Linked DNA regions of Oreochromis niloticus. The protein of the gene in region 2 interacts with the protein of the main gene of each other region in a pairwise test. Links are inferred from orthologs where the notes say so. Each region holds a gene or a part of one and is shown on either strand. Other genes may lie near its edges.

Evidence for each region.
Region 1: the proteins of eef1g (region 2) and klhl18 interact in binary tests that used the Homo sapiens proteins (3 or more experiments, as listed by UniProt). The two-hybrid records come from large-scale screens. The link is inferred for Oreochromis niloticus from reciprocal best matches to the Homo sapiens genes EEF1G and KLHL18.

The regions. Positions count from the first base shown.
Region 1 is NC_031982.2:34,541,553-34,545,302, reverse strand, and holds the start of klhl18 (kelch-like protein 18), read right to left. Parts: upstream 2,368-3,750; 5' UTR 2,258-2,367; coding exon 2,129-2,257; intron 2,100-2,128; exon of another isoform or gene 1,826-2,099; intron 1,665-1,825; exon of another isoform or gene 1,650-1,664; coding exon of another isoform or gene 1,641-1,649; intron 1,604-1,640; exon of another isoform or gene 1,422-1,603; intron 1,416-1,421; exon of another isoform or gene 1,384-1,415; coding exon of another isoform or gene 1,276-1,383; intron 958-1,275; coding exon 827-957; intron 1-826. UniProt on the Homo sapiens protein: Substrate-specific adapter of a BCR (BTB-CUL3-RBX1) E3 ubiquitin-protein ligase complex required for mitotic progression and cytokinesis.
Region 2 is NC_031966.2:22,178,769-22,182,518, forward strand, and holds the start of eef1g (elongation factor 1-gamma), read right to left. Parts: upstream 2,620-3,750; 5' UTR 2,489-2,619; coding exon 2,477-2,488; intron 1,586-2,476; coding exon 1,427-1,585; intron 1,157-1,426; coding exon 1,093-1,156; intron 703-1,092; coding exon 560-702; intron 431-559; coding exon 287-430; intron 165-286; coding exon 35-164; intron 1-34. Other genes in the region: polr2g (DNA-directed RNA polymerase II subunit RPB7), read right to left, coding at 3,029-3,042, 3,233-3,266. UniProt on the Homo sapiens protein: Probably plays a role in anchoring the complex to other cellular components.

The DNA of each region.
Region 1 (3,750 bases), on a different chromosome or scaffold from region 2:
AAGAATTTTATTTGTGAAGAAGTTCATGAAGTCATTACTAGTTAACGTTAAAGGGATGGTTGGCTCAGTAGAGCTCTGACTGTTTGTCAGCCTGGCTACAGTGCTGAAGAGAAACCTGGGGTTGTTCTTATTTTCTTCAATCAGTGACGAATAGTAAGATGTTCTGGCTTTGCGGAGGGCTTTCTTATAAAGCAGCAAACTATTTCTCCAGGCTAAATGATGATCCTCTAAATTTGTGACACGCCATTTCCTCTCCAGCTTACGAGTTATCTGCTTTAGGCTACGTGTTTGAGAATTATACCACGGAGTCAGGTACTTCTGATTTGAGGCCTTAGTTTTCACAGGAGCTACAGTATCCAGAGTCGTACGTAGTGAGGAGGTAAAATTATTAACAAGATAATCGACCTCTGTTGGAGTAGCGTTCAGATAGCTGCTCTGCTCTATGTTGGTACAGGGCATTGAAGATGATAACAGTGGGTGGATTATATTCTTAAACTTAGTTACAGCACTTTCAGAAAGACATCTACTGTGATAAAGTCTACTCTCCACTGCTGTGTAATCAATTATTGTAAATGTAAATGTTATCAGGAAATGATCAGACAGCAGAGGGTTTTCAGGAAACACTGTTAAAAAGTTAAATTCAAGCTAACTGTAATCATGACCGTCACCACAGCTGATATCAGGCCGAGTCCGTGTTAAAGCAACATTTGGAAGCTTTTAGTGGAAAACAGTGAGACATTGATGTTACTGAGGTTGTCCCACCTCTGCCGAGGTCACAAGCCAGTTACAATTCTGCTCTCAGACATCTGTACAGGTGTGAGCGTACCTGGGGTCCATGCCCTGCATCAGGATCTCATCCTGTTTACACTCCACCATGTCGTTGGTGAACATGGCGTGGAAGTACGGGATGGAGGCCGCCAACACGATCCGGTGAGCGCTGAACTTGTGATCCCCAACCTGCAGACAGACACGCTGATTAACAGACTCACCTGTGACTCACCTGTTGCTATGACGACAATAAAAAACTGAAAACAGCTACATCTGAGGGATGTGTCACAGGAAGTGTTGGATTTACTGCCCTTAAACATTCACAGAACCACTCCTCGCTAGACAGCCAATAAGACTATGGCTTCACATTAAGCCCCACCCCTCACTTATCAGGTAAAACAACAAGATGATGACGGCAGACATCATTACATGAAGGTAAAGCTGCGTTCCTTCACCCTCTGAAACACAAGCGTTTCAACAGGAAGTAGATTTCAGGGTTCAGCTTAACTCTGTCAGCTGACCAGCTGGCGCCATCGATGATGTTTCCACTAGCTTCAGCTTAACGCGCAACCAATCAAAGTCCTTCATCCAACCAGCCAAGTCTGCCTGCATCATTGAATCGGTCTGACTTCCTATAAACTTCTGCAGGTCACCTGAAAGTGGACAGGTGAGGATGTGCTGCTTTATCCGGAGGACACCATTAGTTCTGGAAAACAGCTGCCTCTGACGTGGGTTCACCTGAGCTGCAGACTCAGCACCTTGCCTACTGAGCCGTTAAGAGGATCAATGCTGAGCTGCAGGCACAGGACGCAGCACAGGTGAAAATGTTTCTCAGTCGCACCTGAACACCTCTGAACAGCTCAGAAGCACACCTGGATCATGTGATGCTGACAATGAGCACCCAGCTCTGTTAACTGCTACCATAGAGCCAGGCCCTGATGGGGAGGGGTGGAGCCACCGAGAGCTTCTTCCTGCTGTAGGGGTTAGAGTTAAGGTCCCGCCCCTCCCTCACCTGGCGGACATGTTTGGAACAAAGAGCAATCACGTGTCTGCTCACCTGCACACGCCAGAACGCTGCTAAAAGGCTCCGCCCCTTCTGTGCTGCCTGAGCTCACCTGCGCACGTCACACAACCTCTACCTTTCCCCAGGTGGATCACACACCTGACCTCCAGCCCCGGTGTTAAGAGCTGACCGCTCTAACCGGAAGCCGCTTCGCCGCCTTGCCTGTGGGGCTCCCAGGCAGTTCACAGGTCAGCCCATGACGTCACTATCTGATAATCCGCGTTAGCTTGTTAGCATGCCTTAGCTCACTTTGCTAGCTTGGAGGCTAATGTCAGCCTCACACGCCGCCTCGCTCACCTTGAGCGTGACGTCACAGAGTTTCCCCTGACGTCGGATCTCCTCCATGACGACAAAACCTCGTGCCGGCAGGTCGTGCACTGAGAAGTGGACCAAATCCTCGAGCTCTTCGCACAGGACGTCGCCCATCGTCAGCGGGAGCGCGCGGACTGGACCCTGCGAGCCGCCGTACCCAGCGTCAAAGCCGCTTTCACAATAAGAGGGAGCACTTCTGCTGAGATTAAACTTCAAAATAAAAGCTTCTAAAGCCTTTCATTTGTAGTTATTGATGAGTGATTGCTCATTTATTAGGCCTTAATGTTTGTTTTTGTCAGGATTTAATGAATGTATCAGGTGTTGGCCCTGAGGAGCATCAGATGAGCTCACGTGACTGCAGTGACATCTGATATGATGTCATGAATAATGACTTTATGATTGGTGACCTGCAGCCGTGATTGGGAGCACAACAGCGTAGTTATTTAGTGAAAGCTGATTGGCTGAGAGATAAACAGCCTGAACACATCAGAGAGTAAACTAACAAACCGATCTTGAGCCCGCTGAAACCATCCGAGCCTGCAGTTCCTCCAGCATTCAGCAGAGGGAGCACTGAGTCAGTCCTCATAGACTCCTGTGTTAAAATTCAAATGTTTTGGCCTTTGTAGATAATTTCCCCTTCATAACTGCAACAATGACTGGATTCAACAGAAGGGAGAAGAACACATTTTTAACTCACCTGTTTGCATTGATAGGGGTGTGGCCTCTGACTGACAGGTAGATGGTGACAAAACTCGCTGTAGGTGCTAGATTTCACCTCAGCTAACTGGAGTCTCTGAGCTAGACCTCTGAACTGTGTTTGATGACATTATCTGACCAATAAGATTGCTGCTGTGACCATGTAAGGATTCTGATTGGATGTTACTGATAAGGTGTATGTGTATGCTAAGCTAGCTAGCTAGTAGACAACTGGCTGACAACTCCACCCTGTCCTCCAAATATGGTCACCACCGGAAACAAACATGGCAGCAAGTAATGTTACAGTCTCTTATACAGTCTGGCCTCAGGGATGTCACCTGATGATGGGTGCTTCCACGGTCGCCACTTTGGCTGCAAAAACCTGAAGGTGGCAAGGAGGGGCGGGCCTGATTGTGAACCCACATGCTCACTGACTAACGCCCTGGACTGCAACCTGTCGAGTGGTTGGAGTGAGCAGGTTCCTGGCCATTAGCCAATGAGCATGCAGCTTCACCACTTTGAAATCCAGTGTGACCTAAAACTGAGCCCACAACCTCAGCAGGATATTTTTACACAGGTCAAAGGTCAGAAAGCTGCCTTACCACAGCTATTGCCCCCTGGTGGCCTTCAGACAGAATGCAGGCTTTGGCCGTGCCCATGATTCTTCCTCCAGAGTGAATGAAGGTGAGCTCAGGTGTTTCCTGAACGTTCAGTAGACAGCTGATTACTTCCTGTACTCAAACACCTCGTCTGCTTTCTATTTTCTTTTATTATCAAACAGATTTTTGTACTCAAACTGCCGACCAATCAGAGAGCAGCTTCACACAAACAAAACAGCAGAAAAAAAAGAAGTTTTATTCACAAGTTTCGGTGTTTGACCTTCAAACCCTGAAGAGCACCTGAACGCAGCA
Region 2 (3,750 bases):
TGTATGCCTTCTGATCTAACTGCTGGTGACTCACCGTCAAACTGAGCCATCTTTTCACACAGCTTGACCTCTCCGAGGACAGCCTTGAACTGTGGCTGGTTAACACAGGTGACAAACCAGCGGGTCACATTGGGATAGGGCTGACGGAAAGAAGGCTCCAGGACCTACAGGGAACAGTGAGGTGTTAATGGCTTCTGGTGCAGCTTCCTCCCCAAATTTCATGACAGAGCTAAAGTGTTGCCGTTAGGCTCCAAGGTACCGCAAGGTGCGGCCATCTGTGACAAACCTGTTTGTAGAGCCAGAGCATGGAGCAGACCACGGTGATGTCTGCAAGGGTGACCCTCTCTCCCACAAGGAAGGTACGGGTGTTCAGGTGTTGGTTCAGCACAGCAAGGAACTTTTTCACATCCTCCTTGGCCTGCTCGGTGGCCTGGACAGTTGAAAAACAAAAAAGAAAGAAAAATTACTGTAAATCTTGTTTTCCAGTACCAAGGTGCAACAACAGGGTGCAGTCATCTAGGAAGCTATTGTTTTGACTAAGAAATACTGAGCTGTATACCTGCTTGTTGAACTGCATGATTCCCAGAGTGGGGAAGACCCATGCGCTGGCAGGAGGGATGATCTCTGAGTCAGCGAAGCTCACCCACTGCAGCACTTGGGCTGCCGCCTGAGGAGTGGCACCGCGCAGGGTATCATTGCTCACTACGCACGCAAGATTTTAAAAAGGAAAGTTGCTGTTATGGTTTCACAGTAGTTCTGATTTTTTTTTTTTTTTTACTTTTATAGTACAACCTCAGCATTTTAAGATTTTCTTAATTATCATACATTGTGCACATCAATGAAATGATACACATCAATGAAATGATACACTACAGGTAAGACTGTATAGATATAACTAGCAGTGTGGTCTGACCCGTCTATATGATGATAAACCCTTGAGTCAAGAAATGTCCTGTGAATTTAAATGTTTTGCTGATTGAGTGCTTTATCCCATCAAAAATTCTAGACCGAATTAACTGCATCCCTGAGGAATTTTCTAAAACAAGAGTGTAGAATTCAAGCCACTTAATTATTATTAAATGTGAGACTTACAGTAGTGAGCAATGGCATTACTCTCAAACAGACAGAAGCCGTCATCTCCCTGGTAGGCAGGTACCTACAAACAATGACAGAACTACTTATTTGAACACATTCAATGCGTTTTTAGTCAGAACAAAGCAGTGCATGTGCAGATCTGTTGGCTACGAAACATAACAAAAGGGTGTGTTGTCAAACTGGTTCAATCCCAGCTCACAAGTTGCATTTGACAAATAACGAGTCAACCATATTCGTGTGGGAAGGAAAAAAAGGGAGGCTCTAAAAGCAAAGCAAAATTGCATTTTTAAGGGAACTGATTCATTGAATTGATTAAGCCAGCTGTACTTACCTTGCCCAGAGGGAAGTTGTTGAGGAAGGCAGGAGTACGGTTCGTCTGCCCGAAGGTGAAGGCAGGGGCACTCGTGGCAACTTTGAGGCGAGTACCACTGTACTGGGCTGCAATCTGGGCCTTAAAGGCCCGCCAGTTCTCTGGGTACGTGTACAGAGTCTGAAAGGACGGAAGACAACACCATTGTTACAGACAACTGTTTTTAAAAGCAAACTGCATATATATGCACCACACCTTTTCAAGCTGGATGTCTAACCATTTGATCGGGCTATGAATGACTTTCAGGAAATAGCCTGGTGTTTTACTAATGTATATACTGAGTCCTGAACAGCCTTCTGTCTGTTTTCCAATTCTAATTAAGGCATGTAAACTTCAATAAAATTGGTAAGCAAGCTATCAAACCCGTTAAGAGGCAGCATTTAATTTGTTTTATGGTCACAAATAAAAGGATCACATCCAAATTAAAAGGGTCGACCAATTAAAATCTGCCTGACTAGGTTATGGAGAATGATGAAGCTGAAATGCATCAAAACTGAAATACATGCTGACTTGCACGGAAGACTGCATTTCTGTTAACCAGTTATCTAAAATAAACAATTTTCACGTGGCTTAAAACGCTCTCTTGTCAAATAAGTTGGTCCTTAACCCCGAGTCGCTTAACTTCGGAGAATAATTTTAAATATACGGCAGAATTGAGACTAAATAAACTCAACTGTAGAGCTAACCTCAGGTAAAAAAAAAAAAAAGCGTGAGATGCGAAGAGGAGGTTTTCAAAGTGATGAATAGGTAAGGTAACGTGGCACAACCCTGAGCTAGGAGAGCGGAGTCCTCCACTTACAATGCATCGCTAGCAACAGCTAACCTGAGTTAGGAGGAATACTGAATGGCATTGTTTATAAATATCCCCTATAAAAGCTAGAAAACACTCAGAAAGCAATGACTGTGTGAAAAGCTACTCAGTAAGAGGGCAGATGCATCTGATTTTTAGCGGATTGCAGCAGGAAACTTAAAAGTAAGCACTATAGCTGGCCACCTCTCCATCTTACTCACCCCTGCCGCCATCTTCAGGACGAGAGAAAGAAAGAACGACGGCGCGCTTCACTGACGTATTTACGGCCACGTGACGTGCGCGTTCTTGAAATATCCGCGTTCACAATTCTTCTCAACGACATGGATAAAGCTGTCTGGTCACATTTCAAAACATTCGAACATGACTTAAAAACTTAGCTACAAATGCCACTTGTAAAGGTACTAACACAGGGAGATAAACATACACTGACACAGGGATGTAAGAACAAATTAAATATTTTATTACAGCACACGCTAAAGCAAAAAATATGTAGGAATGATGGGCATTCAAAATAACATAAACACTACTAATATGGATACTTCTATTTGCTAGCAATTTTTAAGTAAATTTGTTAACACTCTTACAACATTTCCATAAAAAAAATGTAGGCTGTACAGCATAATAACATGATGTGCCTATAGGGCTTGGCCCCCGTCTCTATTACAGAACAGTAGAAAAATAGTAATTATAAGACAGACAAACTGAGATACAATGCAATAAAGTCCCACTGTTTCATGCTCCTCAGAAGAAAATCAGCTCACGAGACCTGAAACAAAATACAGATGGTACATTTTAAGTTTTTTTTTAAAAAAACCATACACCATTATTTTTGTTTGTTTGTTGTTGGGGTTTTTTTGTACAAATAATCATAACCAAACTAAAGCAACAACAACAACAAAAACAAAAAAAGCAGATCTATGACCCATCTGACAATTTACTGTGGTCTAATAACTTACCCAGATAATCATCCATGAGAGATCCAATGGCAAACTGAAAAACAAGGAAAACTTTGTTTTAATTTAGTTTAAAGTATAAAAGATCGATGAAGGGACAATACCATCCCACATTGATTTGTTGAGCTGAGATTTTTCACTGTTACCGTCTTGGCATCTGTAAACTGGATGTGACAAGTGATCTGACTGTTGAACCATACACTTCAATAAGTATACCCTGGAAACCTCTCTTTCTGAATCTTAGAATGATTGAAATCTGATATGATTGAAAGCTTAATGTTCTATTCAATATGACCCCAAGTCCATAAACTCAACAGAAAATTCTGTACTTAGTTCAGAATTTTTTCACAAGTCCCATTTTTCTATGAACTTCTATAGGACCAGAAGTATTTGTGCAAACACAAATGCTCACAGTTGTTGTCACCCTTGTGAACTGTGACGTGTGCCAAAAGTGATGCCTTAACTGCTGCTACAGTCAGGCAGAAAACATGAGTGCACAGGCAAATCAGTTTTTACCTAGA